Linked DNA regions of Neodiprion lecontei. The protein of the gene in region 1 interacts with the protein of each later gene in a pairwise test. Links are inferred from orthologs where the notes say so. Each region holds a gene or a part of one and is shown in the gene's direction. Other genes may lie near its edges. The genes, in order: transcriptional adapter 2B and transcriptional adapter 3-B.

Evidence for each region.
Region 2: the proteins of transcriptional adapter 2B (region 1) and transcriptional adapter 3-B interact in a two-hybrid assay, tested with the Drosophila melanogaster proteins (4 studies listed by BioGRID). The link is inferred for Neodiprion lecontei from reciprocal best matches to the Drosophila melanogaster genes Ada2b and Ada3.

What each region holds. Positions count from the first base shown.
Region 1 is NC_060263.1:6,643,432-6,659,226, reverse strand, and holds the start of transcriptional adapter 2B, read left to right. Parts: upstream 1-8,850; 5' UTR 8,851-9,102; coding exon 9,103-9,109; intron 9,110-9,207; coding exon 9,208-9,305; intron 9,306-9,351; exon of another isoform or gene 9,352-9,564; coding exon of another isoform or gene 9,565-9,594; intron 9,595-10,124; coding exon 10,125-10,184; intron 10,185-10,282; coding exon 10,283-10,424; intron 10,425-10,669; coding exon 10,670-10,887; intron 10,888-11,027; coding exon 11,028-11,257; intron 11,258-11,382; coding exon 11,383-11,614; intron 11,615-12,993; coding exon of another isoform or gene 12,994-13,033; coding exon 13,034-13,083; intron 13,084-13,559; coding exon 13,560-14,007; intron 14,008-14,106; coding exon 14,107-14,211; 3' UTR 14,212-15,795. Other genes in the region: uncharacterized protein LOC107223641, read left to right, coding at 2,121-2,246, 2,550-2,682, 3,310-3,483, 4,310-4,463, 4,538-4,682, 4,788-5,014, 5,126-5,374, 5,547-7,332. UniProt on the Drosophila melanogaster protein: Component of several Gcn5-containing histone acetyltransferase complexes that regulate nucleosome organization; involved in acetylation of histone H3, particularly on Lys-10 (H3K9ac) and Lys-15 (H3K14ac).
Region 2 is NC_060266.1:16,329,901-16,345,676, forward strand, and holds transcriptional adapter 3-B, read left to right. Parts: upstream 1-7,339; 5' UTR 7,340-7,741; coding exon 7,742-9,121; 3' UTR 9,122-9,692; downstream 9,693-15,776. Other genes in the region: lysosomal alpha-glucosidase, read right to left, coding at 324-407; uncharacterized protein LOC107218362, read right to left, coding at 12,251-12,323, 12,504-12,805, 12,937-13,946, 14,103-14,331, 14,413-14,567, 14,809-14,866.

The sequences.
Region 1 (15,795 bases):
TCCGTAATATCGAAACAGAGGGATAATATTGAAGTTAATAATCGGTCGAATACATGCATGCGCTATCGTTTTAATTTAATCGATAATGCGGAAAATGCGCACTTTTAACAATCACCGATTACCGCGCGCGCGGTTAAACGTGACTTTTCAATTTCGTTTGACGCAATAGCGAACGGAGACGAAGAGGAAGTAGGATAAAAAGTAATCAACAAATTGTTTAAAACACGTTTCCGAGCGCGCATTGACGTGTTACTTTATGTTAAAACGATATCACATCTCGAGTAGGACTGAAATTAATGCATACTCTACGCTTCACTAACTAGGCACACTTCGCCTTCTAGTGCTAATGGGCTTATCTTCGTCAAATATTTACCCAGTTAATAAGATTTGCCAACATTGCTCTAGCGGCACCCACTTACCACCGTCTCTCTTCTTCTCGACATAACGATGCCGCGGTAAGTCGGTTTAAAAAAATAACTCCATTTCTTCCCTTCGATTAACCGTGCGCAATGTACGCGAGGAACGAATAAAATAAAAATATACTCTCCTCGCACTCACGTTACACTTTGAAGAACGACCGCTAATTTACCATCAACGTCACAGTTCGTTTATTTATACTTGCCGCAAGATATAAAAGACAAATTTTATCATTTATATTATATACCGTGTATCGAAACAAATTGCGCATGAATTTTAATCGCCGTTATAAACTTTTAAAACTACTATACGGTATGTTGTGCAAATTAATTTACTTCACTTGTACGTAACTTTGGAAATTTAAACTACGCGGTGTGGAAGAAAGTTGGAAAAACGCAGTTCTTATTATTATTTTTCTATAAATCAATCCGAGGAGAAATTTCTACGGAAGTACAAAAACTAGTACTTAAAATCGAACTTCGGCCTTCGACGTTGTAGCAAAATTGCAATCTTGTGTAACATGGGAACTAACTCCGTTAAAAGAAGCGATAATGTTTTGACCAAATTATTGATATTAATTAACGTTGGAATTCGATATTGTGTAATAACTACTGTAATTACATATTCATTTGCAAAGTCGTCAGTTTTATAATATATCCGAAGAACTAGGAGCTTCCATAGCTGTTGATGCAGAGTTAAGCATCCTCGAGTTCTGACGTCGAAATATTCACTAAATCTCAGTAGGTATGTGTATATGTATATGTATGTGTATGTATATAATTCCGGACGTACAAGAGATTCCATCTGCATATTTCGAATAATTCATACGAATTATATATGAATATACAAAACAACGCGAAAGATATTCTCTTTCGCAACGACGTTATGTGATTATACAAGGTGACGTACATTATCGCGTTGTACCGATAATAATATGCACATCTCTTTCCCCCTGCTACGAAATACATGCGTAAAGATGTATAACAAAATTGCCAAGACTTGTTTAAAATATTTTCAAACATCCTAGTGACGCCGTTATTTATTTATAATTTTTTAAGTTTTAGAGCTTTGGCTAGAATTTTCATCGAGTATTGATTATGTTTGTACAGGTATACTTCCTCAGTCAACGCTTTGTATCTTCAAATTATAATTCAAACCGACGAGAATTTTCGCGTCGCGTGATTTGTGGCGCCATCTGTAGAAACTAAGCTGCGACACGAAGGCGGTAATATTTAACCTTAAAAACAACAAACCCGTTTCTACAAGCAACGTAAAGTTAGACTTCAACGAAATCAACGATAAATACATATAAAACGTTTGTGAGAGTGAAACACGGTAAAATTTCTTTCCAGGATGTTGTATTATTAATTTTTTTTTTTTTATCACCTAACCTACAAATACGGAGATTGGCAGGAACGATTAGATTTAGACGGCTGGCAGCACTGTGGTTGGAACCGGCAAGCAGACGACAGATAACGTCGTCGTCTGCAGGTAGTTCGGCAGTTTGCTTTTGCCCGTTGCTGCCGTGAATCTATTTCTGATCAATCACAATCTCCTTCTGGTCCACTCCCGCCGCACTTCATCGACAAGTTAGCTCTGCGTACGAGACGAGACGAGACTAGAAAACAGCGAACGAATTCATCGCCGAAATGGAATAATCGTTGACGAATGTAGCCGAGGTAGAAAAAACAGAAAACTCAATAATGGATCGCATAGTAATACTCGTGGCGAGTATCCACCTTTTTTACTGCCCCTTCACCAAAGTTGAAGAGAGTTTCAACCTGCAGGCGATGCATGATATTCTCTACCACGGTTTTAACCTGACAGAAGTGAGTACAAATTTTACCACAAAAATACGCTGTGGTTACTCAAACAACAGGTCTAAAATAGCTGACTCGACTACCATGGCGATTCGATAAGCTTTTCTCAGACTAGTCGTTAGTGTAACGCTTGTCGTATTTACCTCTTTAATTTTCTACCATAACAACGCCGATCGTTGATCGATGGAAATCGCCTGGCAATCTCTGGGAAAAGCCTCGCCAAAAGCTGTGTACGAATTCTGAAATAATTCCTCTCTCCTCTACCAACTGCCGTCTGATGATACGTATGCATCTATTTTTCCTTGAATTTAGTACGATCATCGTGAGTTTCCTGGAGTTGTGCCAAGAACATTTCTGGGTCCAATCATGATCTCCTGTATTGCGACGCCCTTTGTTGCAGCTGTTGATTACCTCAATCTCAGCAAATTCTTCTCCCAATATGTCGGTGAGCTGTTATTTATCTTGACGCATGTTTATTTGTTAGTTATTTTTTGGTAGAAATATAGATGAATTTTGAAAAAGAATCTTCTCAGGGTGATTATTCAGTCTAAACGACATGTTCGTAATTTAATGATCCTATGCGCAAAGAAAGTGGAACGGGAATAAAATATGGGATGGAAATTCGCAATGTTAACGCTGCGATAAATCTTTGGCAAAAATTTTTACTTAAATTTAAGAATATTCGAATTTCACACTAAACCATAATAAAGCGAAACGTAGTCATATCATAGATATAGTGTTTCCCTATGTAAACGTTACAGATTTCAACCACATAATAAAATTACATACCTAAAGTTTCAATCGAGATCAAAAAATAAAATTGTCGCCACTGCTAAGTTCTGATAAGTTCTCGGACTAATATGAATAGCGGTAGTTTAATTCTTATAGCTAAAAATTGCATCGACTTGCGTTTGTATTTTTCACAACCGAGTATGAGTGAAAACTTAAAATCGGTTGGAATTTCAGATAAATATAAAACCTCTGTTGGTAACGTTTTTTCCGAAAACTTTATACCTTTTCGTTTTAATTACTTCGAAAAAAGGAACTCATCTAAATTCTTTTTCATTTCCAGTGAGAGCTGTACTGGGCCTGATGGTAATAGCCACGCTACGACTGTACAGACAAGCGTTACAGCAAATATTCGGCCTCCAGTTTGTCAAATGGTTTGTTGCAATCACCATAACGCAGTACCACTTCATGTATTACCTGAGCCGTCCTTTGCCAAACATCATGGCCATGCCTCTAGGTGAATAAAGGACTAAAAGCTAGTCATTTCGTTACCTCCCACTTTGGGTCGTCTTCAGAAATTAACGTTTGAATGTGTTGTACGTCGATACAGAGGTCGGTGTCAATGTTTATTTGTTGTCATTGTCTAAGCAGTCTCACGTTACGCGTGTGAGCTAAAAATTGCGTTTCGTTAAATAAAAAAAATAAAAAAATTCTACGTACAATCGACACAGTCCTGTGATAATGTAAATTCGACATGAAGGTTTGTTCGGAAGATTGTTCACTTGTACATGTATATTTGAATGAATTCAAAGACAGTTTTCCCGATTGCATGTTCGTTAGAAATCAAAGGGTGGAACTCGAATGGCCTATTTCAAAAGGCGCTCCTTTGATGAAGAAAGTAAGCTTTATGCCTGTGTATATCGTCGACTAGCATTTGCCGATTGCTCTTATCTTTAGTAAAAGTTTCATATTATTTGACTCTGATGCCACTGAAAAAATGCTGATATTATCATAAGTAACGTCAATTGATCTTACTTATTCAAACGTGTGATAATATTTATGTTGCAGATAAAACTCAAAATACATAAATTGAACGCATTAAGTAGCATCAAGGTCTAATAGTAGCTAGAAAAGAAATAAGGTATGGCTAATTTCGTATTCGTCGAGGTATTTATTTATTTTAAGAAAAATGATTCGTCTACACTTTCACTCCGCAGCTTTTTTAAATAAGCATAATCATCAGCCTGTCCCCCCAATTTTCCGATCACTGCAATTATTATTCTCTCTTAGTCGCAGTAGCGTGTTGATCAAAATAATCATTGAGCTGAAATTTCATTTTCTAGTTCTGCTCGCACTCTATGGTTGGCTCAGGCAAGACCATGTAACGTTTATCTGCTCATCAGCGGCAGCCATCATTATATTCAGAGCCGAATTAGCTATGCTATTAGGACTATTTCTCATCCATGACTTAGCCAGTACGAAACTTACGATACCGAGGTACTTTGAAACAGAATACTATCCATCATCACGCCTCAAATCTGGTCATATTTTATTAACTGTATTGGTTTCAGATTGCTCAAAATATCGATACCCTCGGGCATTTTATTTCTGGGAATCACCGTGATCATAGATTCGATTTTTTGGAGTCGTCCTTTGTGGCCCGAGGGTGAAGTCTTCTACTTTAACACGATTCTCAACAAAAGTAGTCAGTGGGGTGTATCCTTTATAAATAACACTGAAACTGTTTCACTTAATCGACGAGCAAATAGAACGATTTACTTTCAAGTCAAATGTTTCTTCCTCCTTAACACCAGAATGTAGACGTCACCATTTCTTTGGTACTTTTATTCTGCTTTGCCTCGCGGCCTGGCTTTCTCGTACCTTTTCATACCACTGGGAATGATGTGGGACAGGAGAGTGCGCGCTCTAACTATTCCCGGAATTTTTTTCGTCCTACTCTTCTCTTTTCTACCGCACAAAGAATTACGATTCGTTATATACGTCTTCCCGCTTCTGAACATTGGAGCAGCGGCAGCTTGTCACAGGATGTGAGTTTCGCACTTGTACATATTTTATCAGCAAACCAGCAAAACTCGTTCCAGGAAAAGTCATTCTGTTCGTCGCCAAAACCGTAATTTTTGTTTTTTATTTTCTACTAGATGGGAGAACAGAGCAAAATCATCGTGGAACGGATTTTTCGCACTGGCTGTTCTCGGTCATCTAATTTTGAATGCCATATTCTCCATGTTCCTGCTCTGCGTGGCAGGTTCCAACTATCCTGGAGGTTTGGCTATCACCAGATTGCATCGATTAGAGAAAGATGCCATTGAACCGGTACACGTGCACATAGATGTCCTAACTGCACAGACTGGAGTCTCTAGGTTTACGCAGACTAACAAAAACTGGATGTAAGTGATACTCCCTTTTTTCAAAATAATTTTCACTTGTATCCGTGCCGACAAGTCATTCATTTACTCGCGACTTCCTGACTGAGATATTTTTAAAACGATGGGCTGCTAATGATGAATGATGAAAATCTTACTATTTTGAGATTCTCTCGAACGATTCTTTACCTTTCAGATATTCCAAACAAGAAAATATAACAATTGATAGTCCTGAAATGCTGCAATTCACGCATTTATTAATGGAAGCTAAAAGTAAATATTCGCCAAACATAAAGCCGTACATGAAAACTCACGATATATTAGACTCGGTCGACGGATTTTCTCATATCACGTTAAACTACAATGGTATACCGCCGATAAAGATAAAAACGAAACCCACTATTTTTATAATGAAGCGAAAAGCAAATATTAAATACGATCCGATAAAAGCTAGAGTTAGGAAAGATCTGAATGATGGATTAACAAACTTTGAAGATGATGCCAAAAACGTTGCTCTGAATTCTGATGGTACTCGTCAAGATCTGGATAATATAGGATTTATATTCGAAGACATCGAAGCGTCATTAGAGGCTATTGGAAAACCGTTGGAGCAAATATCAAGTGATTTGTTGCCGCATGAAAATGTAGTAATTATTACTGACAAGTCAGACGTAACTTTAAATGATATTGTAGATTATTCCACACCGAGCACTGAAAATGCGGATGAGATTAATGTGGAAGTAGAAGAGAAAAGTAAAAGTGAATCGATGGAGATAATAGACACATCTGATGGTGCAGGGTCGGAAAACTACAACTATTTGCAGAAAACTGAAAACAGTATTGAGCTAGATGATGATTCAGAGACGACTGAAGAAGTCTTTATGGTAGAAAGAAGCAATTCTGGTGAATGCGATGCGCGTATCGAAGAAGAAGCATCGCACGAGCAAGTTGCAAGTGGTGGTAAAATGGACCAGCAAAAATCAGGTAGTTTAAAGAAATCGATGAAAAAATTAATCAAGAAGAAGATGGGCGAAGCTAAGTCTAAGAAAGAAAGCTCCAGCGACAACGAATTAGAAGAGATCCAAGAATATGATAAGAATGATGTAAAAATGCCAAAACGTAATCTACCTTCAGTGTCGCAAAAAATGAAGCCAGTATCGAAACTTGAGTCTAAAGAAAAGAACGCAATTTCAATGGAGAGGACAAAAGTCCACAAAGAAAACGTCATTCATGTCAAGGAGAGTATCAGAAATATAATTAACCAATTCAAAGAATTTGAAAAGGATTTAGCTTCTGAAGATCCAGTGTCTCTGAAGAAATGGTCCAATGATGAATTAAGCGACTATTCAACAGAGTACACCGAAGAAATTGGAGCAGCATCTTTAGAAGAAAATATTGTTGAAATGGATAAATATATTGTCGAAACACAGGATATTAAAGCGGTGAAAGGAGCGAGAGAAAATTTGAAACAAATTATTGATCAGTTCAAGGAGCTAAAGAATGAATTATCTTCAGATGAAGATGATCGGTTTGATCAGATATCCGCTGATTACATAAACAGACCAATTTCAGAGACTTTGATGTTATTCAGTGAAGCGTTAAAAGACTTGGTGGCACGTAGAAAAGAAAGAGCAGCTAAATTGACACTTGAAATTCAAACTCAGCATGAATTGAAGAATAATGATGTGCCAAACGATGAGTCGGTAAAGAATCCAAAAACTGTGAATTTACAGCCTGACATGAACAAGAAGCTTAAATCAAGAATAGCGGGTAATGATGATTCAGAAACTGCACAAGTTTGGCAATCCTCTGCTTCCTCGAATGCAGATTCAATTGAAATACTTGCGGAGAATGTGGAAGTTGCGGAGAAAACAGAAAAGACAGAATTTAAAGCACAACGCAGGGCCATGATAGAAGAGAAATATCCTGATGTGGAAAATCAAAAGACGGAGCAGAATGAAAACAAAGTTTTGAATACTTGATACCATGATAATATATAACTAGTGAATACAGACTGTTTCCAGTGAATTGCAATGCGCCAAGAAAAATATGTAAATATGTTTCTGTGATACCAAAGTTTACAATTTGAACCATTGCTTATATTTCAACCTGAATACCAGTTGAGTAGCTCTGATGCTACTTTTCCGAATCAAAAATGGAATCAGCAAACTTTGAATGGTCTGTAAGTTTCATTTTTTCTCAGAATATTTTTCACCGTCGTTTACACCAAATTATCAAATATGTTATAAAAGTTGAAACAAACGAAGTTCTTTTATTCAAATACTTTCAAAGTGCCTTAAAAATGAGCTCCTAAATTCTTTAGTAAGTAAGCTGAATAATCGTACATACGGTATATATCGTGGAAAATGTATATAAGAAATGAAATGTTGTGTATCATTGTGTTACAAAAAGTAAAGACATTTAACTTTAAACGTGTATTCATTCTCAAAGATAACTGTATCTATTTCTTTTAAAAACTGTTGTTAACATGTTAATAACATCAATAAATATTAGTGATAAACTGCTTTTACACAATTCAAATTGCAAACGACGATTAACAAAATTCAATCCACGGCTTTCTTCGTTGCACAACAATAAATAAACCAAAAGCCTTGAGCAAGGCCTATAATAACACCACCTACAGTAACATGGTACAATATTTTATCTAAAACACCACCTTTCAAATGTATCGGATATCCGTCGTCACACTGAAAATATTAAGAAAGGCAGTTAACAACCAATGAATTGCTTTTAATTTTCCCAAAAGTTACAAGTCTTATCCTGCTACAAAAACAATTCAAGATCAAATGGTTAAAGTGATGGTAACAGTCAAATTATTGTAACTAATGAGAGGAGGCTAACATCGAACCTGCATTTTTGCCTGCTTTTCCTTAAACGCTTTAAACTTGGGGGTATCTTCGAATCTTCGTGGGCCCGAACAGGAGCTGGACTTTCGCAGCAAGTCCAAGCGTCCTAATGATGTGCTCGGATACGACTTGGGGTAGATTTTGACAAGCGAAACAAATCGCAAAAACGAAATCTCGGAAGTTTTACTCGTACAACTTGTGACTATTGACATTTCGATGAATATTATACTGGATTATACTTTAAATTAGAAAATAGTTAATAAAAAAACAGGGACGTTTTATGTCGCGCTGCGCTTTTGAGCAACAACTGAAGTACGAAATTTCTTTTGTCGCGAAATCAACGCAACGTGATTAGTACGAATGTATAAACTTTTTTGAAAACTTGGAACTAATAAGAATACTCACTCTTAATCGAAGTAAACGTTGAACCTTTTCTCTCGCGTGTTCGTAGGGTGATAATTATGACATTTTCCGAGAAGCGTCGGGGCGAAAACGGACGTTTGAATCGTGCGAATATAGGATTGGTCAGGTTGGCAATTGTGGAATAAATTGTTGCTGGCAGCTAGGCGTTTTGTACCATACATACATAGTACGTTCCTGAGCGATGCAACGAGGGGCGTTAGCGTAGCGCATGCGCATTTCCGAAACGACGCTACACTCGTAAACATTTTTTTTCAATCAGGTAGTATATTTCGGGTGGTTTTTGTTCGAAAAATAAATACGGATGAGCGAAGTGTCTTTCAACTATACATCGTGTACTCGATTTGATATTGTTTTAAAAAATGAGCGTGATTCGCTGTAATAGTTTATGGTTATTTTCGGTTGACCTTAGGATGTGGTGACGTCACTAGCGATCGTTCTGGAAATAAACGCCATAGAACAATAATGGCGGGTACGTAGGTCCCTTCGTTGTAAGGATTGCATTTTCGATCGATTCCAACCGAACTGAGTCGAGCTCGGTTCGTATTAATGACTAAATATTGTTCTCAGATCTCTACGCTAAGTACAATTGCACATATTGCCAGGAGGACATCGCTGGGTTGCGTGTTAAATGCGTGGAATGTGCCGACTTTGATCTGTGCTTACAGGTAAGTCGTAAGTGGCCCAGGGGCGAAACGAATGGGGATTGGGGGGCCCTCAGCCCTGATGCTCGGGAGTCGAGTCATGTGACCTCGCGACCGACTGCCCACCTCCCCTTCAAACTTTTCGCCAGATTTTGCCTCCTGCTAACGGCAAATATTTTTATTTCTCTCTCCCTCTTTCCCCACCCTTGACTCAGGCCTTGAAAGACGACGCGCTTCGATAATTTCGCTCGTCACCGTTGTATTTGCGACATCGCAACAAGCGATGAGCGGGAAATTCGCAACGCCGCTACATGTGTGTAATTAATTTACGCTTCGTTACGGATCCACGATTTCTCAAGATATTTAGTTTGGATAGCAAATCTTCTTACCTTGACAACTTCCTTATTCTCTTTGCAAAATAACACATTTTACTAGGATAATTTACTCAATCGGAAATATCGTTACTGTTGAGAAACAAAAATCGGTGAACTATGGTTTTTCTTAATATGTAATCCGATATTCATCTAGAATGAAAATTATTTTCAGTTTAATCATAAATGCTTGCTGTAATGTTGTGCTCGCCAATGCGTTAAATCTCTGGATATGTGATTCTCACCGCATCTTTTCAGCCTGATTATCTTTTGCAAAGCAATTATGTTGTACAGAACTTACGTGCACAACAGTTTTGCCTTTTTCATTTGTTCCTAAATCTTTGTATACAGTCTACGTGGTAACTTATCCTGCAGATTTGTTGTTATCTTCTTGTAGATGAAAAATTTTGCTTTACTTCAATTAAAATTCAGCATACACACTGTCACACAATGAAAGTGATTTCATTTACAGTGTTTTTCTGCTGGTGCTGAAATAGGACAGCACAAAAATGACCATTCTTATCAATTTATGGTAAGCATTTCTTTGAGCTCAACAAATTTTTACATGCATATTTTATCATGGTGTTTTGTAATAATGTCTCGTTATATTTAATTCTGTTTATTTTTCAGGATTCTGGTACAATTAGCATATTTAGCGGGAGAGGAAGTTGGACAGCGAGAGAACAACTCAGACTTCTCGATGCGATTGAACAGTTTGGTTTTGGAAATTGGGAGGATATAAGTAAACATATTGAAACAAGAACACCTGATGGTAAAAGAGCGTTATTTTTGTAGCTGAATTTATTTCTTAGATTCAGGTTTCTTTTCTTGCAAAATTCATTACTTTTACCTACAACGTATACCAAGCCCCCCCTGTTTAAAATATGATAATTAATATCAGCTCAGCGATTGCTGCGGAACTTTGAACTGAGTGAAAATATCCTGCAAACACTTTTAAATCATTGCTACATAACATACTACTTATTCATGCGATTGTTTTTTTTTTTCTTTATGCAGAGGCTAAAGAGGAATACATCGCCAGATATCTTGATGGAAATATCGGTAAACAGACATGGCCTTCGACTGAAAGTTATAGACCAAACCTGACGGACCAAACTAGCTCTGATTATGGGCCACTATCGCCAGACTTGACCTCGCGACTGCCACCGTTAGATATCACCCCAGAAGAAGCAGCTCAGCTCGGCTATATGCCACAGCGGGATGATTTTGAAAGGGTGTGTTATTTACAGCGAGTATCTCAATTTCTAGCAACGCGCTACAAATCTTCCATATATCGTATGTTCAGCATATGGAAAAAAAATTTCGTTCATCTTCAACAGCTTCGTTACATGAATAACTTCTTTCTTTTCTACAGGATTATAAACACGAGGCAGAGTCTTTGGTTTCTTCGTTGTTTCTCACTCCTGCCGAAGACGATGACCTTGACATTGCGCTAAAGCTAGCCCAAGTTGACATGTACACAAATAACTTACGTGAACGAGCAAGAAGAAAACGTGTCGTTAGAGATTATCAACTTGTCTCTTCGTTCTTTGCTTCGACAAGAAAAGATAGAGCGATCAAGAAAAAACAGAGCAAAGAAGACAGGTAACAAACGAATTAACCCACAATTTATGATCACTCAGGTAATTGTTATATTTGCTGTTAAATTAAATGTCCTTGAATTTATGCTTGTCTTTCATTTCCATTGTTGCTCATTATTTGACATACAGAGAATTTCGGGATAGAATGCGAACGTTTGCCCAATTCTACACAGCGCAGGAGCACGAACAATTCTTGACTAATTTGGAAAGGGAACGAGAGCTCCGACTACGGCTAACCGAGCTTAGTCGTTACAGAGAGAACGGTATCACCAGGCATGAAGAATGTGCCCATTTCGAACAAGTCATGGCACAGACTCAAGGTCAAACAGAAACGACGGATCATTGGACTGAAAAGAAATCTGTAAGTTCTCGTTTGGATTTTTATTTCTTGTTACTCTCTTTTCGGTATTGTAAAAATTGTAGAACTTGTAATATTACATGTTTGTAACTGTATACTAAACTCAGTGTGTGGAAGTTTATCATTGAATAACATTAGTCACATCATTTCTCAGTCACTGGCCGATCCTTGAAAGTCGAACAGAGTAAATACTTCTGTCGCTATTTATTTTCCTCTTCAAAGATACAGAATCAAACCAGATTGACAGAAGGTGCTTACACCTTTACCTAGACATTGGCATTTCGCTTATCCGAATGACAAATCTTTGGAAAATTTCATTTCCATTCGCTCTTTTATCAAACTCTCTTTTTCAGCAATATCCCATATATTATGTTCTTCGAAGAAGAAAAAAGACTACTGCAAAATCTTATATGTTTTGAATGAATGTATTGTTTATTTAATTCTTTCCAGAATTGCCTGTTTTGGCAACTTTCCAAACTTTCTATGATGTGATAATATACGATATAAATTTCACCAACAGCTGTCGTATTTTAAATTTTTTATTAATAAAGCAACTCCAGCATTACTCGTAATAATTATCCTTTTATCTTAATAAAGCAACTCGAGCATCATTCACGATAATTATCCTTATAATTTATTCATGTACTTTTATACGTAGTGGCTAAAATTTAGCAAAGCAAATCCTTGAGAAAAGTTCATTTAGTCAGACATTTCTCTTTTTTGATGTTCAATACACTCGGTCCTTGCAATTTTCAATATATGTGTTTGGAAAAACACCCCTACTAGCAAAAAATTAGATCTATGTAATACCATATCGGTCCCTTTGATATTGTTTCATGCACGCCGCATGTATGTTGCATTTGTATAATAAGCTATACGCTTCACTTACGTACCTAAATGTTTTGCACCTATTGTAACCTGAATCCATAACATTTGTTCAGATCGACAATAACCTTGAGACATAATTCAATGAGTCATCAACATTTTCTTCCATTTTCAGGGCATAGTTTTAGTGTCATTGTTATCTCAAACTTACATGTTTTACATTGACCTATGTAATATGTGCCTACACGTCAGAAATTCACATATGAATTTTGATGTGTCGACTGCAAAATACTTTTACTTGTGTTTGTTGTAATTTATTACGGTCGTGCTGTAATTTTTGCAATTCTTAGATAAAATGAACTACGGTGATAGAAATCTCAAATTACATACCTATGCATTTTTCCATAATACAATTATACTGCAGCGTCAGCAAAATGATTCAAAAAAATTACACGAAATTCGGATTCACATTGATCTAATCATCAAATATGAATAAATAACGTGTTAGCTTTTGCTTACTGTTGACTAATGAAATTATTTGTGATGCGTGTTGCCAGGCGTTTGTGAACAGATTGTATCAGTTTGCATTTCACTTAGGGCAGCAGTGGGCCGTCCACACCAACACACCGCCAAATGTTAAAAAAAAGGTGAGTCCCATGTACGATTGGAAGCAAATTCAAACATGAAAATTTTCCGAAGCTCTATGTGCAAAGTTTGCAGTTAACTAAGTGCGCTTTCCAAATGATTATATTTTGTTTTTATTATGAGTGGGTTGCAAAAATTTCTTGAAAACAAATTCACACCTGTTTCTCTAACGTACTTTTCTATAGATTCATCTCATGTGAAGATCCGATGAATTTTGTAACACATTCGATTTCTGAATAAGTAAATAGCCCTCGTGATTATTTGCTAACTCTGCAAGATTATTGACGCTGTGGCGATATTTTTCTTTTAATTTTTCACTTTTTGTATTTGAGCTGACTTACAGATACAGAAAAAATTTAGGTATGTGAGACTAAAAACACAAAAACCCCTTGTACATACATACCTGTACAAACTACTTATGAAGCTAATAGAAATTTGAAATATAATTAATATATAAATAATAATAAATTTGTTTTAGCCGAGATTTATTCCTATTAGCTTCAATATACAATACAGTAAGATCGAGAAATCATATTGTACGTGTGGATTACAGAGAAGAAGAAAAAAGCTGCGGTTTAACAGACCAAAAATGCACGTCAAAGGCAGACTCAGCCAGCAGCAACTACATAATCAATCAAGCCAGTCCCAATCGGACGACGATTCCAGTCAATCAGTTGGCGGTGCAAGATAGCCATACCAATTCCACCCATCCTACAATTGCTTTCTCAAAAACTACTTTGGAGAAAGGCAACAACTCTACTGTTACAGCCATCAAAGTCTCTCCAACGGGATTTCCAGTGTCCGATGCAAGGGACGTAGAGATGGAAGCGGCAGCTCAACTTCTCACCAAACAAGAGAAGACCTTGTGTCTCCAGCTAGATATGAAACCAACGCAGTATCTTACCCAAAAGACCCTGTTGTTGCAAGTACGTATAACACTTCCCATATTTATTAAATAAATTTTCAGAAAAACGTAAACACAGCCAACAACAATCGCTAAACATTGAGGTACCCTTTGTACGCAGGAGTATCTAAATGGCAATAGGAGATCAGGCGTTGCACCCCAGTCTGAGCCGGAGAGCAAGATCCTTCACTATCTGGTATCCAATGGCTGGATTGCTGCGAACTGATCAACGCAGAACCAATTAAATTTATAGGCGACGCCTCATCTCTAAGTCACCTTAGGCTCATTGCAAGCCAAGTCTTAGGAATAAATAATTTTACTGTAACTTATTATTTGAATATTAATTGAACAGGTGGGAAGAATTTTACCCTTTTTCATCATACTGCCAAATCTGTCGCATTGTTCAAGTTTTCATAGATTTATCTAACAACAAAGATTCCTGTCATAGTTATAAAGAAAATTAAACCGTTTACTAGCAGTAGATTAATGTATCGACTAATTGCTGGCAAACTTGACATTTAACTATAGATCTAGTTATAACTTGCTATTTTGCGCTGCATTAATCTCATTGTCAAGTATTGGCAAGAGATTTAATTACTCTTTAGGTAACATTCCGCCACATTTATAATTCTTAAATTTAAGAAACGTACACATTGTGTTCACCAATTACTGTGATCTTTATATTTATTTTGAGAAGGAATTGTCAGATTGATTAAATTTAGTACTACTCAATATTCAATGCTCCAATACTAAAATACTGTCATCTGTTGTTATCACACTGCTCTGGAGACATCTGTTTGTTTATGTGTGTCTAATTGTGTGAGAATTATGCTTTGTTTTTGATAAAATTGAAAATTTTTGGCCCAGATTTTTGAAGAGCAATACCTGATATTATTTCATCTCATAATTAATGTACTATTGTAAGTAGATGTATGTAAGTAGGTTGATATTTTACGTTATTATACGTATAGCTGTCCTCTTACGCTGAATGCGGTCGACGACTTATTTATAAATAATTGAATACCTAGGTTCCGCTTCTATTACCCTGAAATTTTTGCTCAATTCTATTGTTTGACAAGTTATGTTTCGCCTTGTTCATCTGTAAAATTTACGAATCGATAATCCTCGGTTTCTTTCTACCTGTTCAAAATAAGGTGTATAAATAAACTGTTTTCATTTACAATAACGAAATTAACTATGTATCGCGAAACACTTAGGAGTGGGATTTAATTGTGAATATTAATATTGTATTGCATACTATCGACGTGTAGCCAATGCAAGAAAAAAAATATTCTCAATCTTAGTTAATGTGAATTGTCGAATTTTTTTTTTGTTCCTCTCGCTATTGAGAAGTGTGTAAACTTATAGATACAAAACCAAAGCTCTTGATGGCCAAGAAAAGTGTCTTGGAGTGAACATGCCACTGGTGCCTCATGGTGTTCCTCCACCACCAAATTGCTGAATATTTGAATTACAGTTATATTATACTGTATGTATAGATGCTTGAATCGTAAACAAATTTGAGCTAGCTAGTTGTATTGAGTGACAAGGACGTAGGAGTATTAAAAGCTGCTGATTTTCTGAAACTGTAAAACAACATGAATTTCTTAATTTTATTTCACACCTATTCATGGGAAATGAAGTTTAAAACTAATCAAATATTCACCTAACTTTCCGCTTACCAAATATCCCAAATTATCATCCATGTCAATGAACTCTTATAAAACGGATTATAGCTATGAGAATGGAATGTTTTGGTACCATAAGTGAACTGGAGTTAAACTTTACTGTGAACTTTCTTTACCAGTTT
Region 2 (15,776 bases), on another chromosome or scaffold:
CACACGCGCACGCGCACGCGCGCACACACACACACACACACACACACACACACACACACACACACACACACACACACAGGCATGACTATAATGAAATTCTTGACAGGCGGACCATCCCCCTGCAAATGAGAACTCTGTGCATCTGATAGTCTGACAACAACATAGTCGTCACTCAAAGAAGAAGAAAAAATAAAACTCTTCCGACGATGATCTGCATCCTATTTTTTTTTTTTTAGGAATCATGGAACACGATCACTGTATTACTTATTACATCTTTTATTTAAATTGCACGCTGGTAGGTTTGTTTTATCTCTGTGGCTCACCGAGTTCAAAAGATTGGCTGGTTTGTTGTTGTGTACCAGAAACACTACACCTGCCACCTGGGTGCTGATGAGGTACTTGCCCATTCTGGCTCGGAGACATGCCTGGATAATTGTAAAACAATTTCATTGTCTTATCTAATATTATTATTATCATTATTATTAGAATACTCTCGGGCCTTGGAATTATTTTTAGAGTCTTAAGAAAGTGATTAATTGATCTAATCATGTTTAGTAACGCACTTTACAATGGAATAAGCCGATCCCTAAGCCTGCCAACTTTTCGTTTCTCAAAAGAACTGTTTTTTCAAACATCAGACCAGACACTCCAGAAAACAAGTTCATTAGTTATAACTTACCAGACGGCGTTTTGTCTCCGGCAGACATTTTAGAAAATGCTAATAATGCATCTGGGAAATTTGGAGGTGTAGCTGGCGTATTGCATGGTGTGATCTGAAAGATTAGTAAGTAAAAAAAGAAAATGAGAATTGAATGGAAATATGTACTCTGTGTGAAAGGCAAATATAAAACATATTTTGATCCTGTATTTGAGTTTTATTTATTTCTATCCTATTTCTCACCTGTCCAAAATGTGTTCCTGGTCCTTGAGCGCACGAGGGTATAGCAGCTTCTTGAAAAAATATACTCAACGCTGTCTGTAAACAGAATTGAAGCAAAATTAACAAAAATATATGCTGTTAAATTGGGAATTGGTGAAAGCGCATAATATTTTGTGCAAAAGTAAAGCAAAAGTGACTTCAAAGATTTATTAAAAAGGTTTATTGCATGAAAACTAGTTGCTAATATTGGCTGATATATAATATAAAATAAGTGAACAGAGTGAAAAAGTTTTTAATTTAGAGAGTATAAATTGTAAAGCAGATCATAAAATTAACCATGTGTTCATTGCAATGAAAATGAATTACTGATACTTTTACTAAGAGAGTTTCTGTCTATAATTTTTATAACCTGAATATTGTGCAAATACATGTTTTAAAAACATTGTTTCAGCTGCATTATGCGTTTCTCTAAGAAGGTGTGAACAAGATAATGTTCTGATTTCAAAAAACTAATCTCTAATATTTTCTACGTGTTATTACAATCTCACTGATTATTTCATATAACCTTACGAAATGTTTCACAAATTACACAACATCGTAAAAAATCAATATTTTACTATCAAAGAATCACTTTGAACGGATTGTGATTGTAAAATCAGTATGGTTCGCTTTATGTGTGCTGTTAATGATCATTTACAGCATGTTGGAGCATTTTCAAACAGCAATACTCTTTACAAGTATGTTTCTTTTACAAACCTCACTAGTATCTAATCACAAAATATTTGGTTCACGATTGATTTCAGAAAAAAAATAAATGTAGAAAAAAGAACTGACAAACATCGTAAAGATACTTGATTATCACAGTTATCCGTTTTCCAAACTTATATAACCTGTAAAATAATGATGAACCTTTGGGATAAAGAGCACATTCTCAGTAATCTAGCTACAACAAAATTAGAATCTGAGTTACCATAGGTGGTAAATGACAAAATTAATAGATGTTCAAATTACACCACAGACTTCATCGGAGAAATTGATTGGAAGCAGGACAATTGGCTTGCGTACAGTCTTAATAATTATTTTGCCAATTCATTGTTTCATAAAACGATGTTTTAATGCAGGATGCAAAAAATATTATCACTCTTGATAACAAGAGTGACCTTTTAAATTGTAAACAAAAACAATCTTTCCTAATTTGGATGTAAAGTATAAATTTCCTTGTTTCTTTTTAAATACAGGATCATCAAATGTTACTCAGATGCAATTCAGATTCTTATTCTACTATGTATGAGCAACATTGCGTATAGGTTTAATTTTTTTTTTTCAACCCTAGCTGTTTGCAGTTTTTACAAGAAACAATCATTTTATTTCAAAATTGTAACATGTGGTGACTAAAATTTAAAACATTCATGCATGTGTTGAATCATTAACATAACTGCACTTATAAGTTCTAAGATATGTTTGTAACGAAGCAAATATCACTGTTGCCGCAGTTAAGTAGAGCAGTCTGTACAATATCACCAGACAATAGGAATACATAACATATTATGGTATTTGAAACTGACAATTTTATGGTAAAATTGACTCAGTTATGAGAAATAAGTTACTCGCTACTAGTCTTAGAAGATTTAATTTCACGTCGGGGTGGAAGGTTGAGTAGAAGGTGGAGCGAATTAAAAATAAGACTATCTTCTAACACTACGAGACTGAAGTTAGCAACGAAACATTGGGGAAAAAATCACTATTTTCTTAATTTTACAATGAGTTTGAAGGAACCAAGATTTCGAAATATTAGTATGTTTTGTTTTATTAAAGTTTATTGAATTTCAGACAATTCCAAAGTCATGAAATAACAGTTTTTACCCAGCATGAATTGTTACGATAACGTTAATAACTTCGGTTTGATAAAAGAATGTCATTGACTGGACAGATAAAAGAATAAATTTGACAACGAAAATTGACATAGATACGAATTAAAAAAAGACTTGAGTGAATGACAAAAAATGCCGAAAGCCGTCTAGTGAAATGAATTCATTCCGATTATGCTACACTAGCATAGACTAAGTATAAATAATCGCAAATGGCATTTTGCCACCTGCCAAGTTGAGTTATTTTTTACTAGGCTGGTTTGGCACAGACCATTGTCACCCGTCTGCCCGAAAATATATAATCTATAATGGTAAACAGACATGCCAGAGAGACTGGTCAGCGGCATGAAAAGCTGAGTAGCGATGTTACGAATAAATTATTTCCGTTCTACAGCAGAAACGATCATCAGTTGGTTGAAATCCGGTCATTATTCAATCTGAGACCCGACTGGCGTTGTTACGAAATGCGTACGTAATCATCGCGACCTGAGTTCCAATTTCCTGCTGTTCCGATCTCTTAAAATGACAAATCGGCCTATTGCCTGGTGACAAAAGATTCGAGCAACGAGCGATTGTTGTTTATTAGTGTTTACCTTCAACGGCGGATGTGTGATAGAAAAGAAAAAGATGGTACATAAATAACGACATTAAAGTTAGTAGCGTTACCGTAAGGAAACATTGAACGAAAATATCACTATTTCTTATTTTTACGATGATTTTGAAGGAACTAAGATTGCAAAACATGAGTGTCTTTTGTTTTATTACGGTTTACTGAATTTCAAACAGTTCCAAAATCGCGAAATAACGGTTTTTCGTCAGCACGAATAGTTACGATAACGTTACTAACTACAACATATTCATAATAGTATCGCAGAATCCGTGGTAAAATTAGACGTTCATTTACCAGCGAATTTCAGCCGGGTTTTTGCCGATTATCGATTTATATCACATGCGGGTGAAATGATAATGGTAGCCGCATAATAACCGCGAGTTGTTGTTTAAAGATACGGGGAAAGTGCGCAAGATAAACTTGTAAACGAAGAGCAGCCATTTTATTATCACTACTCCGTCGTATCGTCGTCGTCGTCGTCGTGCGTGTTTTGTTTACTTACTGTGGCTTGCCTCGGCGGCCGAGACGAGAAATAATTAATGAAAAATGGAAGTAGAGCTCACCTCGAACTGCCAGTGAGCAGCCTGCAGTAACTGTTTCGCCTGTTCCCTGGCGCACCCGGCGGCCAGAACGAACTGATTAATCATCACCTGTTCCCTTAGAGCGTCCATTTTAACGCGAAACCTTTTTGTTATCACCTTTCGCCTCGTGACTTCTGTAACAACTACGAATGCTTCTTGACCGTAAATTACTGTCCGATTTCCCAAGCTGTTTAGATAATTCGAACTATGACGACACCGCTGTTCTCTTTATGTTATATCCGTATTGTTATTGTTTTTTGTTTTGTTACACGGGTTCTATTAACCGCGGCAGCAATCTGCACCCACCCTACCAACTAAAGGCGGGCTAGCCATAAGCCAAATACACAAACAACTTATTTTCAAAACTACTCATCCCTGACGAAAGCAGAACGATCCGACGTTGACGTCACAATTCTTGCTTACATTAACGTGCCTGCGACAAAGTCGTCTGTTTGGAGCCGTCACGTTGGGCGAACTCCCTCCCCGCGACTTTTAACAATCAGATGAATCCCCACCAAGTCGCGACATTTGTTGTTATTTTGATTATGATGGCGTTGGCCCGAATCTTGCTCTATACAGAGAGAAACCTGAGAGGGCCCACGGAACGAAGAGCCTGGGACAGGCTGGTGAAGCTCGGTTCCGTCGGATCTGTGTGTCCGTTGCGTGAACTAAATTCTCGGCGGGTAAGCGATGGACGCAGATAACGAAGCATGCTCTGTATTATCTGCTCCACCGCTTAGCTCTCTGTTATGCTAACCCATAGATGTAAGCTCGCACGCATGCGTCTTACAGAGTGAAACCGCGGTATTCCTCGGCCACTCTGCCGCTTTTTGCAAAGATTCAGTTGCTTAATATTACAGAAGTGCAATTTCGGATCTTGCTTCGTAAACGGATGCAATACTCTACATGTGATACTTATTCAATTAATTATTATAGTACTACAAACAAATCCAGTATTATAAAAATAAATAAATATTAGTATTATAAATAAATAATAAACGAATCATTAATTACTCTCTTTCTCCCCCCTCCCTTCCACTTACAAATGAAACAAAAATTTCTTCATTTATATTTTTATAGAAAATATAATTTAGCGAGCAGGTAAACAATTATGTACGATCAAACATGTTGAGCGTGGCAAACGTGTCAAACGTGTCAAACCAAATTTAAAGAATGTTTTTCTTTTTATCACTCACGATAATCTTATTTCTTGACCACCTGCTTTTATACAATTATAAATTACGCGTATGCACATCTTTAATTATTGCTGGAATAAATGTAGTTATAATTAAAAGTTGGCCAATTCATTCGTCCATTTGTTGAAATTGTGTGTGTGGAAATCTGTTTAATATATTCGACTTTTTTTCAATTATTTTTCAAGCAATACATTATTTGTTAACCATACAGTTAAAGAACGCATTTATGTAGCTATTATTCGCGCTCGATCTTTGGAATTTTTTCACAAATTCTTGACAACAGACAGACAATGCTGTTTCACTCGCTCTCGTTCATTATCACACCCGCCTTTTCGTCTCTACACGCCCTCCCAATGTTTCATTTGGCATATGCATCTTATTTTCATCTATCGTTGAATCACCATTTTTTTCTCTGCACCTCTATATTCTAGGTATCATGGTATTTAACATAATCCATGGCAACTCACCATCATATTTGAAAGAGTTATCTTCTCTCCAAAATCAAACGAACCATACTTCCCGACAGCAAAAAACTCATTATTTCCACTTACCTCTACCCCGCACGCCTACCTATCGCGATTCATTTTTTCTTTCTGCCATGCATTTTTGGCACTCTCTCCCTGCCGAAGTAGCAACTTCTCCCTCACTTCCAATTCTAAAGGTTCGACTGCACAACTACCTCTTTGCTATAGATAGGGTTACGGTTTAGCTATTTTTAATCAAAATTTTAACGTTTTGGCTATTTTAATTTTAATTTTAATTTTAATTTTAATTTTAATTTTAATTTTAATTTTGATTTTAATTTTAATTTTAACTATCATCACATTGTATCTATCCACAATCCTTTGATCTTTATTCATCTTTATTTTAATTGCGTCCTTATTTTTATTTTTATTTTTATTTTTATTTTCGGCACATTATTTCATACTCTTTATCTCGTGTCCTCTTGTAGATGTATATTACTATTAAATAATTCTATTACCATTATATCAACTTTATTACTATTATTGAATATTTTTTATATTTCTTTTTTATACTTATACCAACTATTGTTATTTTGATATCCTTGAAAAACTTATTTCTGATTTACACTGAATAATTTTATGTACTTTCATAATTCGCCTCATGGTACTACCAAGGCATAATAAAGGTTGAATCAATCAATCAATCTCTCTCTCTCTCTCTCTCTCTCTCTTATGCTTTTTCCTTCATAGATCAAAGAAGCTGATGAATACGGTACAATAATTGTACTTAACGAACAAATGCGTAAGAAAATTCGTACGTAAAATGCCGAACACATCATGATTTTGTTGCCGCAGAACGGAATGGCCTGTTGGCAGAGAAAAAAAAATAAGGAAGAAAATAATGAAAACGGTTTATTCATTTTTCGTTACTCGTAATTGAATATTCCAATACGTTTGATAATAGCGATACGGGTAACGCGTGGTATGCGACGACGGAGAGACGGGCCAAGTCTCGAGCGCGAGAGCTGCGATTGGACTTGTGCATGTATTCGGTGACTCGTTACAGCGCCGTATTCGGTCGTTACACAAGTTTTCTCACAAGCTTTTCAAATTTTTCAGCTTTTGGCTAAGCTTGTATTAAAATAAAAAATTGAAAAAATTGTTTTTATATATTTTGTTATATATGGGTGTTTTTTTAATTTTTAGAAGTTTGAGAAAAAAAATATAACAAAGTTAAAAATTGATAAGTTAATAAACAATGGAATTGTTGATAAAAAAAATTTTTTTTTTTACTTCATGGAGGACTGTCCATTATGATTTTTAGATAAAAAATAATTTCGCAACTAATTATTTAAACAATAGAATTCTAAAAAAAACGAATATAAACAAGTAAAAATTGTTGTTAAGAAAAAAATTTTTTTTTTAAATCGTAATATTTATAATATAATAAAGTTGTGAAATAAAATTTTGAAAAAATATTCAAATGATCAATTTGTTTGTAAAAAATTTATGTTCCTTGTTCCTCAAGGAAGGACTATGAATACTTGCTTACGTACATACTTACGAATATTTTATTGCGAATTGGTTCCACATGTGTAATACTGCTTAATAAGTAGTTCTGTTATTGACGGAAGATATTGTTTTAAATGTGTAACAAACACTTGTTGCAGTAGTTCGATTTGAAGTTGTCATCTCTCAAGATGGCGATTTCCGCTATCCCGCCAATGACGGCACTTGGTAAGTCAGATGACAGGTTAGTTTGTGTCCTAGGTTGTGTGGGTTGTGTGACATCGTTTGCGAAATGGTGTTGATAGTGAAATATCATTAAACAATTGGGTACATGATTGGCATGATAATTTCAAACGTACCTTGGATAAAACTAATCGTCAGATCAGACGACCTTTCGTACGTACCTGATTTGTTCGCTTTTCCATAGTAAGTGGACACAAAGGAAAAACAGAACCTAACCTCCAAGATTGCTTATTGGACACTTACGGTGAATAATAATAACTAATACAGTCGGTGAAAATCACAAAAATTACTGATAACTTAAACTTACTGCAATCCAGCTTATTGGTTGTATTTTTATAACGGTCGAACGTTAACTGAACATACCCACAGAGAAGACAGAGAGAAACCGTAATGTCAGGTAAAGGTAAACAGAGTTCAAAGAAGGCGCTGATAAAGGTGCGCGAGGGAGGTAAATCCGGACATCTGTCTTCTGTAAACTCTGACACAAGTTCGGAGAGCACAGAGGCTGCAGTTTCTCTGCCTGTTCTAAAGACGGTTGACAATGGAAAACATTTGCCAAGGTACTGTAGCATTCTGCAGCGTTCGGCGGAGGAATGTGTCGGGATGGAAGATTTGGATACGCTACAACTCGAGCTGGAAACATTGCTTTCATCCGTTGTAGTTCGATGCCGATTACTGCAAGATGAGATAACAAACTTGTCGTCGGCGGAAGAACGTAGAGACAAAAGGTCAAAGAGTGTAAAAGGCCTGTCGACACTTGACAAAAAAATTCGCGAGGATAAATCCAAGCTCAAGGACTTTAGCTCGAAGGCGCAGTCTCCGCTTCCGGCCAAACTGTTTAAGCAAAAAACTTCTGGGGGATTAGCTTCTCAAGTTGTCCCGAATCCTCACGAATTGAACAGAATCGATGGGAGTAAATCTGATCTCCCTAAATTACTTTTGCCCAAAAACGATACTCCCAATAAGTTCTGGGCTTCGGTCGATCCTTACTGCACCGATATCATGCCGGAGGACTTAAAGCTGCTGGAGGAATTGGTCGCTTCTCATAGCGATCAGAGCGAGTTGAAGAAAATCCCGCCGCTCGGTCGTCATTATAGTCTGCTGTGGGCGCATAATGATTTATTGCAGGAGGAAGATGCGGCTAATCCAAACAGGGATAAAAAGAAAAATCGGTCCGACGTTTCGCTCCTTGTTTCGAAGGTTGATAAGAAGGGAAATAGCATCGCAGGACCTTTGACCCAAAGATTAGTTTCAGCTCTGTTGGAAGAGAATGTATATGTAGCTAATAATAATATGGATAATAAATTGTTTAGGGATGGCGATCCTCCTGTGCTTAGAGACTTGTCTATACAAAATTCAATGAATTTGGAATTGAGGATGCACAAGGAGCTGGTAGAGCAAGGTATACTTGAGGCTGATACTCCGAAAAAGAATCAAGATGATGAAATTCTTGCAGAAATAAAACGATGCCAACAAGAACTGTCCGCTTTGTCCAATCATAATGTGACACAGTTGAAACGACTGCTTCAATTGGCGCAAGAGGAGAGCAAACGACAGGCTGTGAAACGTAAAATAAGCATTGTCGACAACGAAGTCGTTGAACATTACAAAAAATTGATACTAGCTAAACAGAGAAAAGTGTCTATGACTAAAAAAGAACAGGAGAAGGCTTGGAGCTGCCTGAGAGAGCGTGAAAACTTACTTGAACATTTGAATATACTGTCAAGCGGCAGTGACACTGTCATCAACTCAAGAAATAACACGGCTTGATCTCTCAATGGTCGTCATACAAGCCAATGCGTATATGCGACATAACATTGCGTTGTAGAATAGCAGTTCTGATTAGTTAATCTCATTTGAGTCATATTTTTATGTTTATCATGTTTAATATTTTGAATTATTGTACTTTTCGTTACGATTACAATGTTAAAATGAATGATGTGACAATTACTTTACAGCTTACATTGCTCTATTTACTTGTACAGATTACAATATTATAATTCTGGTAGTAATTTATACAGTTACACATCTAAGTTAATTTGTTCTTTTGATTACTTTTTTATGTGGTGCCTGATACAATTGAGTGATTTATGAATGTAGTAACAGGATAAATTGACCGTCAGGGGAAAATAATGAAATGGGAAAGATGTATTAACATATAATCTATATTTTAATATATTATTTTTAAATACATATTCGAGAATTTTCAATCTTACGTATCATCTGGAATAATAGTAACGATAATGCTATTCGTAACAATGATAATGATTATAATTATAGGGAATGTTCAACAAATGAAATATCGTGAAAATGTAAACAAGTCGTAATAATAGAAAAATATATGTATATGTATGTATATAATATATACAATATATATATATATATATATATATATAATATTATATATATTATATATATGTATCAAGATATAAACAAAAAAACAGTTAATCCAACGACAACAAAATTATACAATATCACAAATAAATTAAATGAATAATGAATCCATTCAAGTTGAATCATAATTGTGGTGCAAGTGGTAACAATTTAATAACAAAAGGTATCTTCAAATATCTTTGTTTCGAGCGAGTAATATTATTTGTTTACGCATACTATTATCATTTATTAATCAAGTTATATCATAAGTCACGGTAAAGAGATATAACACGTACAGAATGATTCAGAAAAATGTTACCTGCAACTAATTGGAAAGAGTGATTATTTTTCTCTAACAAAAAAAAAAAATAAAAAATCTCACGAAATTACTATTCAAACCCTTCATCATTTCAGAATTCTTCTCCATGAATAATTTTTTTACTTCTCTCTTTTTGCACGTTCCCAAGTTTCATTTCACCTACATATTATATGGTTCTTATTAATTGTACCAACACTAACATGTTTTTTGAGCCAACTCGTATTTCTTCATCATTTGTTCATTCAATTTTTATTACAGAATGATTATATGTTATGCCTGAATATTTGTTATAATAACGCTCTAGTTGATCTTCTCTTTAATTTACTTATAAAGATTATTTATGGTTTGTCTTTTTGGTTTGGGCCCCATGCAACCGTTACAGTCAGAACATATTAGTTTATTTTTATTTATTTAATTTTTTTACTTTTAGATAACGTACGTTTACTTTTCTACATTCTATAGAAAATACAAGTTTCACTTTGGATATTTTGTTCAAAACTTTTTCAAATTAGTTTCAGAAATATTGGATGCTGCTCTTTATTTTATTACTCATGTTTTGAAATCTAGTTGTAAATTGCTTCGTTTTTTCCTTTTTTCCGGAATGTTTATCTTTTATATGTATATCAGGGGGCCTAAGTCGAATAGAGAAACTTTTCTATTATTTAGCGACCTGACACGTATCGACCTTGCTCTTTCTTCATAGGTACTTTGTTCACTTATTTTTTCTTAGCCCATATCGTTAAGATTCTACATCAATGAATGTATATATTTATGTAAATGACTGTATGTTTAACAGAGTGAGTCAGATTAAACACGATATAATTGGAACGGTACAGTTTCGCCTACCTATACAGTTTAGTTTGAATTGTGATGAAAACTTTCGATTTTTAATTATAAATAATACTAGATTAACAATTGATTTCCAATCACAAGAAAAAAGAAACGAAGGACGAAAGATTCTACGTGTAATAGTGTAGAAAATTAAATATGTGTGGATAAAAATTAATAATCCGTACTTGAGCTGCCGCTTTTTTTTAAATTCGAAAAATTGTCCCTGGTATATTTGAATAACAACCTAGCTAATTGTAATAAATTCCGCCCTGACAAAACTATTTTATTTTATGTTTGATTCTTTTTTGTTCGTTTTAGAGAGAATTATAATTTAGTCTGAAAAACGAGCGTTTGTAGATACCTTCTATTCTTTTATATACATATATATATATATATATGCTATTATATATATATATATATATATATATATATATATATATATATGCTTGAACACGTGTTAATATACTACAGTGTAAATGTCTTTAGTAAAAATTTGAAAATGATAATAATTTGACGTATATGCTGCCTTTTAATTAATACTGTTGACTTATGCCTTGTTAATAAAACATTTCATTAGTTTTGGCAATTTTTTTTTTTCTACTTTTCTACAAGTCCTGTTTCTTATTTGGCACAGTTTTTTGTAACGAATTCATGCAGTACAGATAAAATGGGTAGAAATATTGATTGGTAACAACACTACTACTGCATTTATACAAATTTGTTGTTGCATCGTGATAAGAAATGTTTTTTGTGAGTAGAATATTTCGACAACTATAAGGTATTCATCATTACCACTCAAAGCCAAATATGTTTTGATTAAACTAACTAGGTTTGTAAGTTGATTTGTGAAGACTATGTGTATAGAACAATATTTCCACCATCTACCAATTATATGTGGGTATTTTAACAGATATATTATCTAATCTTAGAAACCTGCCCATAAACGAACAATAATTACCGATGTTACGGCATGGTCGTCCATTCGTTCGGTTTATTCCTGTCTTCAGCCCGAAAATTTTAGTTACAGATTTGATTCGTTATTAACTAACCCTACAATAGATATAATATACATATACGTATATGTATACTTTTACACACACACACACATATATATATTTATATTGCTAGAGTGAAAATATCAAAATTTCTGTTTTTGAAGATATAATATTTGGTATTGATATAGATATTTATGTATGTATGTGGTTATTTATTAATTACAATAAAGATTGGATAATACTTTTGGCACTCGCGTATTCAAGCTGCTTCTTGTACGTAGTTTTTTTTTTTTTTTCTAAATACCTAATATGATGCACAACTATGAGTTTTTTTTTGTTTTTGTTAGTTGATTTTTTGTTGTTTGTTTTTAAATTCAAATTTTAATCTTCATCTGAAGACTCTGTGGAGCTTTCAGGCATTGAGCTGAACCAATTTTCACGAGCTCCGGTGCTCCTAGAACATAGCAATTGTTATTATCAATGAACAGCTTTTTGCTGCACATTAATAATTCTCTACCTAGAATGAATTTGTAAAAATATAAACAAAAAAAAAATTAAAGAAATCCCGCTCATTATTCTCCTCTGAGGTAAAGTTATTTGCTAGGGAGAATTTTCTGTGTAAAGTTTATCTCACCTCGTACGCTGACGGGTACTAGTGGGCAGTGTCAAGGAAGTACGATAATACTGGGGTGCGGTGCCTAGCGGTGTTTCCTCTGGTCTACGATGCAATGTCATTGTCTCGTGTGGAGAAGTAACTAATTCATCCTGGTTGTCCAGATAATATCGGGAACCGTTTGCACTCTTGCAATTCTCACATTCACTGCGATAGTCATCCGCGTCGTCGTGCAATGTCGGCAGAGCTTGCATGCTGCAAGCACATGCCACAGATTCGATGCTTCCATCTTGGTTCACTTCAGTAGTTGAAGGAATTTTAGGCTGAAATTGAATACCAGTATTTAAATATGCATACAATCGTCATGATGTTCTTTTCTCAATGCAGTTTCTAACTCTTAACTGGAACCAACCACTGATTAATACTAGCATGTTTCTTTCGAATAAAATCTCACCTTAAAGTCACAATTTGTTAGATTGGGACTTGGTTGGGTAGGCGGCTCCCCCTCAACCTGCGGCGCAGCAGTTGGTAATCCAACAAGTACATCATCATAAAATGCATCCGAATGAATAGAATTGTCATTGGTTGATGCAGTCGGTGGAGCAGATTGTGGAGTATTCTGAGGGGAAACATTCCGTGGTGGGGTATCGAAAAGGGGAGCAACGGGCTGATGAGCAGTAAACTCTCTTCTCAATCTGAGACTGCCACTGGTAGCCAGGGTTCTGGGAATAGTGCGATGGCTGGATGTGCCCGAGGTGGGCAATGTTGCAGATATGGTAAAGGCGCCAGCGCCCTGGCGAGGTAGAGTCGTGTGCTGGTGATAGGCTTTTGGAATAGTGGAGTGGGAAGGTGGTAGAGGTAAAATATTACTCTGAGATAAATCGTTAGTTTGGTTGGTGATAATGCTTGGCGGTGGTGGGAGATTTTCGTAAGTGTTAGGTCCTATGTTAAATGTGGTTACAGAGCTACTCGCATAGGCCCCAACTGTCATGGATTCGCCCTGATTTACTTGATGGGTATTCGAGTGAGTGTTAGGGCTGCTCAAAGGCCTATTCATCGACAGTATCATCGGAGACGTAGATGCTCCATGTCTGTCTGAGAGATTTGGCGTTGTGACTGAGAGGCCAATTTGGCTATTTGCTACAGTCGCGACTGATGAAGGATGAGTGCCGTGATTCACCGACAAATACGCGCCAGAGAAATTCAATGGTGATAACGCGTGTGGACTTGCAGATAGCAAAGCTTGCTCTGCTCTCGCAGCTGCTACTGCTTCTTCATATGGTGGTGGAGCTTCTCCGCGTGGAAAATAATTACCTGGTGGTTTCCACAACGGATAACCACCTCCGCATGACATGTCATCTGCTGGTCCACCGTGCGACAATCCACCTCTTTCTAAGTATCCCATACTACCAAGACTTCTCTGCTCGTCGGTTAGTTGCCGGTTTTGCCTCCCTGCCACACAAACTATAGTATTCCATTATTTATCCATCGTATTTCATACAAGTAAAACAAATTTTTATTGGTGCAACATTGTGAACTAATGAACTAATCTGAACATGTAATGGGATTAGGATGAAAAAATATAAATGTTCAATGCGTAACGATATCTGTTGATCTCACCTCTAATTTTTCTCTGGCGAAGTCGATGGATCAAAAAGAATATGAGAGAAAGTGACAATATGGCAGTGATGCAGCTGGCGACGAGACGAAGTCCCATGTCGCTTGACGTGTTGCCATCTCCCAAGCCGCCTCCGATTCCACTGTTTCCATCTCCACCACCGACTGGGAGAGTGTCGTCCATGCAGATAAACTCGCAGCAAGTGGTGCCAACACGAAAAGATTTGCAGTCCTATATGAGAAACAATATATAAATGATAATGGAAAATTGTTTCTCAAGGTCCAACAAAGTTCTGACTAATTGTTTGATCACCTGTGGCTGGGAGCAGAGAACCGCCTTGCACCATTTTGGATTCCCATTGTCGCAGACGCAGAGAGTGCACGCATCCGGGCCAGGGCTGTAGTGGAATCCCGACTCAAAGAATCGGCCCTGTACGTCCTTGCAAGAACCGCTTCCCCTAGCTTGACCTGGAAGATTTATTAATTGCGGTCAGGAATATACCGAGTAGAAGAAACTTTTGTCATACCGAATTAGTAAAATGGTCGGGGATTCGGCGAAGGTGGGAAAAAACAATTGCCTCATGGAAGATAAAAAGAAATTGCAGGACAAATGAATTCGACGGACGTTGATTTAGAGGGCAGGGCGTGATGGTGAACGGGATTGGAGAATGTTTGGCGCGTGATCGGAGCATTGACAGCTGGTTCCTACCAGTAAAATGCAGATTTAGCGTGAGCACCGCATAGCTGAGGACTCCGCTGTATCTCATTCTGCGTTTCGTTATCTCATTATATACCGTCCACCGTCAACAATGTTGCTTAGTTTTCGTCAGTGCATATTCACCGTCATCTCAATCACCACACCAGATATTCAGTCAAACCACGAACGACACGCATTGTCAAATCATATTGACAGCACCCACATTTTCTCATTCCTTCACTATTATTCCAATCCCATAACCCAACCGCCAGTCTAAAATATAAAAGTATTAGCTACAAACTCTCCCACAATGATGATCGATTAGTAAACAGAAATGCTATCTCAGTCGGATTTACGAGTGGCGCCACCTATCCTATTTGGGCGAAGAATAACGAATTTCTACGAAGTCTGTCAACTGTTCGCGTTGCCTGGCGGCCGGTGGAACGGGAAAGGACCACTATTTTCAACCTGTTATGCACGTCGTGTGATAAGGGAAGGGCAAGGACAAATGTACAGACATCTAGATTGATTCTGACTCCATCAATATTCCTAGTAATTTTACGACCCACAGTTTTGGCGTTGCCAGCAGTGCCAACGGTGCTCATTCGAAATCGTGGGTCGTAAAATTACTAGATATATCGAAAGAGTCAGAACCAACAGCTGAAGTGAGGTTTCTCTCTGTAAAGTGTATCTGTATGTATATTACATACATACATTATTCTTTGGCTGTGCGTACTAGTCGGGAAACCGACCGCACCATATCTTCCCTCATCGAACATACGGCCAAAATGCATATGAATCGATGGGGAATATAGTGGTCAATAGGGTGCCAGACTTTATAGACAATCGATCCTGTCCGGAGTGTCCAAAAAAATGTCACTTCCGGTCAGTTTTTTCGAGGTTATCTTCCTCATCGAACATATGATTGAAACTAGTACCAATCGATAGGGGAGGTCGAGTACTTGAAGAAAAAACCGGGG